3 linked regions of the Caenorhabditis elegans genome follow. The protein of the gene in region 2 purifies or fractionates together with the protein of the main gene of each other region. This does not show direct contact. Each region holds a gene or a part of one and is shown on either strand. Other genes may lie near its edges.

Region 1 (2,725 bases), on a different chromosome or scaffold from region 2:
AAATCTTTTTGTGATAATGATAATGATTACAAATACACTAAAATGGGCTCTTTCTTCCTATGCAAAAAGAAGACGTTCGGACGGTGGTGAATCAGAAATTTAGTCATGGGCATCGTCGTGACCGTGATGTCCGTGATTACGGTACTTGTACTTGAGTCGCTGCTCTTCTGGAACGGCAAAATCGTAGACAACAGTTCCGGCTTTGATGATTCCGAAAAGAAGAGCCAATCGCCACACAATTTTCAAATATTGACCATATGGAGATTGACGGAAGAAGTCGGGGTCTTTGTTCTGAAATAAAACAATACAAATCGCATTGCGTTTTATTTTATGCTGTCACTTTTTAAAAATTGAACGTTTTCTTGTTTAAAATTTTTTTAATTACTTATGCATGAGAAAATTGATTTTTTTTGTAGTACTTATGCCATTTCATAACAAAATATATGATTTTGTGAAGAACTTTGAAATTTTTTTAAAAACATTATGGCGGCTTCAAAAGCCAAGTTTTTAGCCTCGCCGGACAGTCCCGACACTATAAATCTATAGCTGTGGAAGCTTTATGATCAAAAAATTAAAAATTCAGTAAACTAAGTACTAAGGTTATCTTATTTTGAAAGCATTGCAATTAATTCTCAAAACAAAAACATATTTTCGAACTATTTTCGAACCGACTGTACTTTCGGGAACATAATTAATTCTTTAAAAAACTCACAATTGCACGATAAGCAGCTGTCGTCTCCTGCTTGGCTTCACCAAACAAAAACATTTTTGGCATGTTGTTCACATTATCCCATTTTCCCTCACTTCCGAGTCTGTTGATTTCTTTCCAGACGGCGTGGGAGTCACTGCAATAATTTGAAAATTTATGATTCAAAAATTCACCAATTTAGGAAACTGTTTTGTATTCGAGGGATAGATATTACAAGCATTGAAAAATCAATTTTGTTCTTTAAGAGATCAACAATTTAATGCATTTTTTAATGCTTTTAAAGGGAGCAAACGCATATTTTTGGATAGATGATTAAATATTTAGTATTTCGGAACAGATTAAATAAGAAAGTGAGCATTTGTTATATTTGTTAAGAATAATCACTTAGTAAACTAATTGCATTACGAATACGAAAAAGCTATTGTTTAAAATAAAATTCCTGGTAAGAACACAGATATTTTCTGAAATATCGAAAATTCCATTGATATCGTTTTTTAACATGATTTCTTGACATCAGATTATTTAGCCTTTAACACTAAAAAAAACTTACTGAGAGTGAGACGATGCTTGTCGAACTGCAATACGTGCAACCTGGCGGCCGGCGTGAGATAAGCCTGACATGGCGAAATCACCTGAAAATAATTTTTAGAATTTGTGTTGAGAAAATGAAAATTTGATAGGAATTGTTCGATTTTCACAATTTATGCAAAAAACCTCAAACAGTATGGAAATTGTTAAATTATAGAAGAAAGAAAAAATAAAAATAAAAATTGCCCGAACACCAAAAGCGCGCCAGTGGACGTCGCTGACGCACTATTCGACGTACTGGCGCACTTCTTGCTAATATTTTTTTTGCGTTGACGTTGCAGATTTACTCCGTTTTTTCCCTTTCAAAAATATTCTCAATTTTTTGAAAATGAGTCACACAATTCTTCTGCTCCAACCGACAGACAACATCGAGTCACGTTCATGGTCGGATTATGAGAATACCACGGAATGTCTTGAAGGTGAGTAACAAAAACCAAATTACATTTTAAAATTAAAAGTTTATAATCAATTAAAAACTTTTAACTTATAGGAATCTGCAGAGTCTACGAAGAATATTTGAAAAAGAAGGTTCCGGCTCAAAACGAAATCACCTATGACATATCGCACCTTTTCGAGTTCATCGACGACCTCAAAGATCTTTCAATGCTGGTTCTCGACAATGTTGGTTTTTAAAACATATTTTAAATATCGGAAAAAAAATTGCAGACAACATACACATATGTCCCCCACAATAAGCAATATGTAAAGGAGAGCATCTACAAATTAATGAACAACAGGCTCAATAATCAGCACTGATTACCATCCATATGGGTTTCTCACTTCTATCTCTTTCCAACGTTCTCTTTTCTCACTTTTTACGGATTCAGTCCTAAGTTTTAAACTCTTTTCCAAAAAATGTGAAAACGAAATTTCATATCCAGTTATACAATTCATCCGCAACCACATGAATAAATATTTTTAAATGGTGTTATTTCTCTACGTTTATAATTACAGCAGTTGTTTTCTGTGTATTATTTATTTCATTTGGAATTAGTGATTTTCGAAATTTACAAAAATCTTCAAATTGTTCAGAATGATGGTGTCTCCTCCGCAAGAGGATACAGTGTTCAATACCGATTCAGATCCAGTTTATGAACGTAAGTATTAAACTATGGAAGGACTCGAGAGTTGGTAAGAATATTCAGATCATGCCGCTCTCGTTTCCTCCCCATTTCACGCTGATGAAGATCATACATTCGATATTTCATTTGCTGCAGAAGCAACGGACGACATGACATTCAATGATACGACTACAGATGGAAATGGACAAGAATCTGTTCCATTGGAGGCATTGACAGTAGTTGAAATAGAAAAAACATCTAAAGGTATAAATTGTATTTTTAAACGTCTATATAGTACTCATTTTACAGGTTTCGGATTCAATATAGTTGGTGGAACAGACAATCCTCACTTTGTTGGAGATATCGG
Region 2 (4,451 bases):
AATCAAAAATCTGAAATACATTGATGGTGATCTCATATTTGAAAACAATCCATATCTGAGAAGAACTTCATTATCGCTGCGAGCTGTTAATGGAAAGATTCGGATGATTAGAACGCCTCAACTATGCTGGGAAGTTCAAAAACTTCGTAAAGTGGTACAAGCTTTCAAGATGAAGCATATATATTCTGACTGCGCCAACAGTAAGTTTAAATTCAAAAATCAAATGAATAGGTTATTCGTTTCAGTTGAAATGGACACTTTATTTGAAGAATACGAAGAAAAATGCACATTCGTGGAAATAATTGTGAGCCTCTGTGTATTGGCGTCAATTTTGATATTTGTTTGCTATGTGATGATAGATGTTGTGATCATCTTCCTGAAATCCCTGAATTTCACTCGATGGAGAAAAATAAAAGAATTGGACATTCATCTCAAAACTGACCCAACAGCTTATTTGGACGAAAAATCTTCAGATGAAGAACCTGATGTGATGACGTGGAAGAGGAGAATTCTGGTTAAAAATCGTCTGGATGGACGGGATGTGATGGGAGAAAAAAGGAAAAAGGAAATGAAAGAATACCGAGCAAATCGAAAAACAATTAATTGGAGACGGAAGCTTGGAGCATTGACGAGATCCATTCAAAAGAACGAATCGGATAGTGAGTTCTCAGGACAAAGTTGGTTGAGAAGAAAAGAGTCAAGAAAGAATGCAAAAGAGATGAATGAAGATCAAGGAAAATATGAAAAAGAAGGTCTTCCGATTGCAGTACTGACTGGTTTAGGAGAAACAAAATGGAAAGGAAGAACGAAGAACATGGCACTTGAGGCAAGAAAAGCTGATGAACGAGAATTGGAGTATTTTGAAGCAGTTCATAAAGCGATCAAAGAAATAATTGACGATGCAGAAGGTGACGAAGAAGATCGAATTCTGATGATTTTGGAAATAATGGAGAAAAGGAAAATTATTGAGCCGAACGAAATTATCACGGACACGAACAAATTCGAAGAGCTTCTGGTTCAACTGGAAAATCATTTGAGTGAACGTGAAAAGGAGAAGTGGATTGCCTGGGCTAAAAGGAAACAACAATTACGAGAGACGGCGATCACGACATATGGAAAAGGAAAAAGCTTTAACATCTACGATAAGCCAGTTAATCTAGAAGAAGATTATAGACTGAATGCTGGTGTTGATAACTCGGAAATGTTTGTGAAAGTGAAAATAGAAACGATGAACTGGAGGTCTTCGGATGAGAGTGGAACTGAAGATCGAGAACTTTAACTTTATGTCGTTATTTTTAAAATGTAATTTATAAAATTTTTGAATTCAACGAAACATCATTTTTATAAACTCAAAACAAGATGAAACAGTAAAAACAGTAAATTAACAGTGAAAACTTATGCAATATTCGAAGGAATGTCGTCGAAAATGGATCTGGCTGGCTTGTGATTGGCCGATACTGGGGTGTGCTTCTGGGGGGTAATTCTTGGACTTCCAGAAAAGGTGAACTGGTTGCTGGTATTCTGAATCGCTGGAGAGAGGAATCCACGTCCAGCTGGCAACTGAAAATGATATAATTTTATGCGTGAATTTAATATTTATTTCTTACCGGATTAGATAGGCTCAATCCGGCTGAAAGTGGTGAGCCAGTTCCATAATCATTCTTCTTTTCTTTTCTGAAAATTAAAACATTTGTTATAATATGTGGGTACTTCACAAACCTATAGATAAAATGAAACTCGTCGCAGTCATTATGTTTTTCGATGATTGTTCTCGGCTTTGCTTTCATTTCGTATCCAAGGGCTGCCAACTCGAAACGATCGCTCAACGTCACCTAAAATTAAAAAAAGCTTTCGTCATCAACATTAATAGATTATTACTTTTCTGTGAAGATTTGTATTGTAGTTGAACCGTTCAGCGCATTTGTGTGCGATATTTGTGTCTTTTTCAATATCCGAGTCGGTTTTTAACGAATTCTGATCGATTCTTTTCTGAAAAAAAGTTTTATTGTTATTAATTCTGAAAAAATGATAAAACTCACTTTAAATGGTGTGGATGCCAAAGTAATATGCGAAAACTCCCTTTTAGCCGACATAATTGGAAAATTCGAATGTCAGCCGAAGAAATTGTGTGCAATAATTTTAACACCGTTACTGTAAGTTTTAAAGACACATGTCCATTTTGAAGGCATGGGTCTCGAAGCGAAAAAACTTGTTACGGTAGCGCGCAATTAAAAAACTTGTAAAAATCTTTTTTTTTAGCTTGTTAATTAACGTTAACAAAATATATGAGAATATAGATGCAGAAAAAAAAGAAATTTCATTCGATGAATGTACATTATTGAGAAAACACAGTCTACCTATTTGAGACTAGTTTAAAACAGAAAGAAATTGTAAATTAAGGTAAAAAACCTATACTCTTTCGTGGAAGCTTCCTGATTCGTCCGATTCATACCCATCGTTTTCAAATCCATCATTGTCGTTGATTTCGCTCCGAACCGAATATTCAACTTCAGTTGTTTCTTGGAATAAATGAGTTGGTGTCATAGGTACAGTACTATGATCATCATAGACTGTTACTCCAAAATTCTCTTTCATGTGTTTGGTGAAATCTATTTTACTAGTCGAACTTACTCCATCGCTGAAAGTATTTGGAATAATTGATTTCAGAAGTTTGAAGAAACTTACATCATTGTATTTGTTCGACTTCTTGTATGTTCAATAAGAGCTTTTGTAAATACCATATTACTATTTAAATCTCCACGTGCAATCTTCTTTGCATCTTCATCAACCAAATGCTGTAAATTAATTATGAATAACAATATCATTAAGCGTATTACCATACCTTGTACTTTCTGACCAATTTAGTCTTATCCATCTCCTTCATATTGTTCTTATTAACTAAAATTGGTCTCAAATAATTATTGTTGAGTGCATTCCACGAATCACGAATCCAATGATGCCCCTTGAAACCGGCAATGTCTTCCATTCCAGCCATAGTCGTGTCGATAAGCTATAATTTTCATTTCACTGGAATTTTGGTTCTGAAAACTCACTTCGCTGTAAATATGCTCAATCATGTTCTTTGAGTGAACATTCTTTTTCTCAACTTGTAGGAATTCGGCAATTGGTTTCAGTGTAATTCCCTGAAAATGTTAAAAATCTATTTTAGAAGTATTGGAAATAATCCAGATTTTTTTTCAAAATTTAACTAGGCACATTAGAAGGCTATGTAAATGAAATGCTGAAAAGTAATAGTAAGGTATGTTTTTTAAAAACATCACGGGTATAAAATATAGCTAGATTGTTTAAAAAGATACCTGGAGGAATACAGTGAAGTAGATGACAATGATACAACTGGTGACAAACATATTCTTTCCGGGTATAAAATCTGGAATTGCAACGACAAGACCGTATGCAATGGCACCACGAAGACCTCCATAAGCCATGATAAATTGGTCTACCTGTATGAAACATATACTTTTTTTTATCAAATAACACAAATTAATTCTCACCTTTGTGTACTTATTCAGACGATACTTATTCAAGAAATAGCACATAACAACAACTCCAAGGGTACGGTAGATCAAGCAGAAAACTACAGTAAGAACGATGAAAGATGTGTCCCAGTGATGGTTTGAGGATACTGTTGAGAGTCCCAAAAAGACAAAGATAACTGTTTCCGATGCAAGAGAAAGCACTTTGATGAATGATTCTGTGGCTTTTACCGTGTCTGGGTCCACATTTTCACGGCAGTACTGACGCATGGCAGCACCACAAAATACAATTCTGCAAAAATTTTATTGAAAATTAGTTCTAGTTATATTTTGTTTCAGTTTTACAGCTCTGGAAGAGAATTACGGTTTTTGCCAAAACTTTTCATATTAGTATCTTCAATCTCTAGACCTTAAGTTTACATTTTAAAATTCCGATTTTTAATACAAAATTTAATATGAAAATATGAGTAGGGCTAAAGTTTCAATATAAAAAAGAAATTCTGAAATAAATTAACTTACGCCATAATACTTGAAAGACCGAAAAGTTCTCCACAAAGATAACAAGTGTACGGAAGAATGAGAATAAATACAGAATTGAGCACTTTGACCTCTTCATCTCTAGCAAATCTTGTAACAAGACTTGTCAAAAATGCAAAAAGAAGACCAATTCCAATTCCACCAAATGCAACAACCAGGAAAGAAACACCTCCATTGATATAATCAGATGTTATCAGATTCTCAGTTCCAATTTCAGAGAAGGTCAAGAACATTCGATAAAGTACAACAGCAACTCCGTCGTTCAATAGAGATTCTCCGAACACGGCAATAAAAAGAACTTCGTTGACCTGTAAACTTTGACTTTGTTATCAGAGAAATTTGGGAGACTGTCTCACTTTCAATTCCTCGAAAATGACAATTACAGCAACTGGATCTACATCAGCAGCAACTGAACCGAAG
Region 3 (3,603 bases), on a different chromosome or scaffold from region 2:
AAGCGCTTATTCTGTGTGTCCATAGTTTGTAGTCTATGTAGCCTTTGTAGTCTGTGAAGTTTTGGCTTCTGGAGGGATAGTGAGTTAGGGTTAGTGTAGGGATATAGTTGGGGTACTGTAGTGGTACAATAGTGGTACGGTAGGAATACTGTAGGGTTACGGTAGTTTCATAAAAAATTAATTTTCAGCCCCAGAAGTCGGGGGCCGCGCCGAAGGTGCGGTCCACGGCTGGTTTTTTATATGCGAAGAAGTTTTTTCATGTTTACAATATTTCCAGAGATAAAGTCATGTCTCTTGAATCAATCCGCAAAAAATTGGGAATGACTACTAGTACGACGCCGCCTCCGCCAAGAACTCCATCTCCGGACGCTCCACTCGCCCAATCTCCGCCAATTCCACGATCGCCTCCGAGTTCTACTGAAAATGCGTAGATTTCCTTTGAATGAAGTATACTGTAGAAAATGTTCAAGTTTGAGTGTGTATAATTATGAAACGAGAGTAACATGAAACACTTTTATGAAATGAGGTTGAAGACTCAAATCAAAAATACAAGTTTTCAAATTTAGGACAGAAACAATTCCAGAACGTAAAAAACAATACCTAGAAGTCAATAAATGGAACAACAATGAAAAACAGTAAAAATACGCTGCAAATTGGGCAGAGTTCCCAATAGTAATTATTAAACATTTTCCTTGATAGCATCATAATTATCAGAAATTATGAATTTTGTGAAGCGACCGGCACGAACTGGGCAGCGATGACACGGACGTTGGGCGGAAGAACTCGTGGGAAATTGATGATAGTCGTCTCCTCGAAGTGGAATTCTCCATCGCGCATCACAGTTCTGCGTGTCTCGATTGACAAAGTCTCCGTAGAAATTTCTGTAATAATGAACATTATACAATTATAGAATTTTGATAATCTCACGTTTGGCTCCTTCTCTGCTCTGTAGAGTGTTGATTGGAGCAACTGGTGGCACTTCTTTCATCAATTTTTCAGCTGGCCCTTTTCCAGTGATAGTCATCACGTATGGCGACGGAGCTACCGGCTCGACATTGCTGAGCTTCAAAGCATTGTCCAACTGCTCTGAGAATTTGTCAATTTCGGGCGACATCATTGGTGCTGTGAAACCACTTCTCACGCTGCCAACACTTCTTGGGGTGAGACTGTTGATGCTGTAGCCGTACCCTCCATAATAAGACTCACGGGCCTTTTGATTGTCCAACTTGCTTTGATACAGTCCACCTGAAAACATAAAAATTGTTACGTTTTCCTAGTATTCAAACAATAACCTCCATGCAAAGCCTTCATATTAGAAGAGTATCTTGATGCGTCTTCTTGGAGTAAATCTTTCGTCTCAAATGGTTCCACTTCGATATCTTTTCCATCTCCGTGTTCATCCGTTTCTCCAACCTTCTTCGGGCACATTCTCGAAATGTGTCCATGCTCTTGACAATGGAAGCAGTGGCCTGGCCCACCTCGCCCACGTCTACCGGTTCGGCGGCCAGAGCGTGGTCTCTTCGATGAAGATCCCATACCATCGGATCGGGGCGAACTTCGGAAAGATCCACGCCGTGGACTACCCATTATATTCTCAGATGGCAGAGGTGTCACGCAACGTTCATTATTCATGTAAAGAGCATCCGAAACAGCAACACGAGATGATCTGCTTTCTCGATAACTGCTGTACCCTCCTCGTACGGAACCAAATCCAGAACTGTCGTTTAGGTGAGAGGAGTTTCTGGGGATTCTACCGCCAAGTCCACTAACGGATCCAAAATCAGAGAAGCCTTCACCTCCTCCAAATCCTCCTCGATACTTTCTCGGTTGATCAGTTAGCGCTCCGAATGCTCCACTATTTTGAGTTTTTGGCCATGGAGAGTATTGAGCTCTCTCAAGATAATGTTGTCTGTCCTGAAATGAATAGTTTACAAATTGTCATTAATTTGATAAAAAATACCGTTCTCGCCGACATTCCGTTTTCCATTGACTTCATTTCACTCGACAATTCCGACATATCCGACCGAAATGTCTAAAAAAATTATTTTGAGAAACTGGCAGAACGCTGAATATTTAAAAATTAATCTAAAAACCATTAATTCATCAGAAATGGGTGAGAGAAATGAAGAAAATTGAAGAAACGTGCCGAACGAGTTCAGAATTTCGTGTCGGGACCAAAACCTACAGTAACCAAGTCAGTATTTAAAAACGCGTTATTAAGAGGCACTACAAAACGGGGATCTGCGGAAAAATGTTATTCCAATTTCTCTTTCAAGCGAATCCGATAATTTAAATATTATTCGTATTTATTCATTAAATTAAAAGAGAAGGCGTATAAAACACAATTGGCAGCTTGCCGAACAGCGGAGCTGATTACTGTGTTGGAAAAAACAGAAAAATTTAATTAATTGACATACTAATGATAAAAGGGAAGAGTGTGGACAAAGTTGAAATGTGGAAATTCGAAACTTGCCTAAAATTAATTTAGGAGCCTCTATAAGAGGAAAAATAATTGAGTAAAATGATAGTGAATTATCAGAGATCTCATTGGATGTTGCATTGAGATAGATGTTGTATTTTATATGATAAAAAACGAAATGTACATCAAAAGAAAAAAATGCAAGACGTTGTTAATCAAGATCGATGACTTCTTGAACCTGCTGCGGATCATGGTTGAAATTTTTGCTTAGATACATATCACGAAGCTGACGGGCATCTATAAATTTTAAAAAATTATACGAAATTTTTTCTAGTAAACTAACGATTCTCAAAAACACTTCCGACAGCGTCAAGAATTGTTCCATCACGTAGTTTCACATAATATCCATTTTTCGGAACAACTAACTGTATTGGTGTATTTGCCTGAACCTGATGAAGCTGATCTCTATGTCCGACAATGGGAAAAACGAGTTCTAAAAATTTGAATTTTCAAAAAAACTTAAACGTCAAACTCACGTCTATCAGTAATCAATTGTTGAACTGCTCCAGCCGGGGAAAATGATGGTATTTTGCTCATAACAGCTCCCGGAAAAGCTGATGGATCTCTTGGAGGAAGCATTTGTTGAGGGTTTCCTATAGCTCCTCCATTGTTATTATTCGGATAGCCATTGTTGAATGACGTCATCGTATGACCACCTCCTTGGTGATGGAATTGACTGACATTCATTCGAAGCGTGTGAGGCATTGGTGATGGACGAATTGATGGAATTTGAGGTGATGGTCCATGAGGTGGAAATTGTGACATGTTTGGCATCGGTTGTGGAAATTGCTGTGGTGGATAAGATCCAAAATTGGGTGCAAGCTGATTAGGAGATTGTTGCCAATGATTATTGAAACTATTTTGCATGTTATTATTGAACATCGGAACTGGTGGTGGACCCATCATTCCCATTGAGCTTCCAGGAGCATTGTTATAAAAGTTAGAACTGCTCAGGCCACTCAATGGATCATAGTTCTCCATACGTCGTTCTCTATCAAAAAGTAATTGAGCTTCTCGTTTTTCCTGCTCGCTGAGTGATTGCTCTGACTCCATTATCAAGGTTTCATGAAGGAACGGTTTCCCGGCAAACATTTGACTCATTCTCTTAGTGATTGAGTCTAGAA

What was found. Proteins that work in one complex are often made in the same cells at the same time.
Region 1: the proteins of pid-1 (region 2) and erh-1 purify together in Caenorhabditis elegans (affinity purification with mass spectrometry, with the first as the bait; one large-scale study listed by BioGRID). This does not show direct contact.
Region 3: the proteins of pid-1 (region 2) and egc-2 purify together in Caenorhabditis elegans (affinity purification with mass spectrometry, with the first as the bait; one large-scale study listed by BioGRID). This does not show direct contact.

What each region holds. Positions count from the first base shown.
Region 1 is NC_003283.11:10,577,927-10,580,651, reverse strand, and holds erh-1 (Enhancer of rudimentary homolog), read left to right. Parts: upstream 1-1,510; 5' UTR 1,511-1,625; coding exon 1,626-1,716; intron 1,717-1,787; coding exon 1,788-1,918; intron 1,919-1,963; coding exon 1,964-2,053; 3' UTR 2,054-2,225; downstream 2,226-2,725. Other genes in the region: lpd-9 (LiPid Depleted), read right to left, coding at 100-291, 713-845, 1,260-1,330; mics-1 (PDZ domain-containing protein), read left to right, coding at 2,331-2,394, 2,443-2,622, 2,668-2,725. UniProt on the Caenorhabditis elegans protein: May have a role in the cell cycle.
Region 2 is NC_003280.10:7,688,411-7,692,861, forward strand, and holds pid-1 (Protein pid-1), read right to left. Parts: upstream 2,147-4,451; 5' UTR 2,094-2,146; coding exon 2,040-2,093; intron 1,990-2,039; coding exon 1,879-1,989; intron 1,833-1,878; coding exon 1,720-1,832; intron 1,675-1,719; coding exon 1,608-1,674; intron 1,561-1,607; coding exon 1,396-1,560; 3' UTR 1,280-1,395; downstream 1-1,279. Other genes in the region: F18A1.1 (Receptor L-domain domain-containing protein), read left to right, coding at 1-200, 246-1,279; nhx-2 (Na(+)/H(+) exchanger protein 2), read right to left, coding at 2,410-2,638, 2,686-2,795, 2,843-3,010, 3,054-3,143, 3,318-3,461, 3,513-3,786, 4,014-4,339, 4,388-4,451. UniProt on the Caenorhabditis elegans protein: Component of the pid-1 variant of the PETISCO complex which is required for the biogenesis of a class of 21 nucleotide PIWI-interacting RNAs (piRNAs) that possess a uracil residue at the 5'-end (also called 21U-RNAs).
Region 3 is NC_003282.8:8,900,075-8,903,677, reverse strand, and holds egc-2 (CCHC-type domain-containing protein), read right to left. Parts: upstream 2,033-3,603; 5' UTR 2,018-2,032; coding exon 1,961-2,017; intron 1,915-1,960; coding exon 1,293-1,914; intron 1,246-1,292; coding exon 928-1,245; intron 882-927; coding exon 718-881; 3' UTR 501-717; downstream 1-500. Other genes in the region: Putative serine/threonine-protein phosphatase C27B7.6, read left to right, coding at 278-431; rad-54.L2 (Helicase ARIP4), read right to left, coding at 2,631-2,716, 2,763-2,912, 2,956-3,603.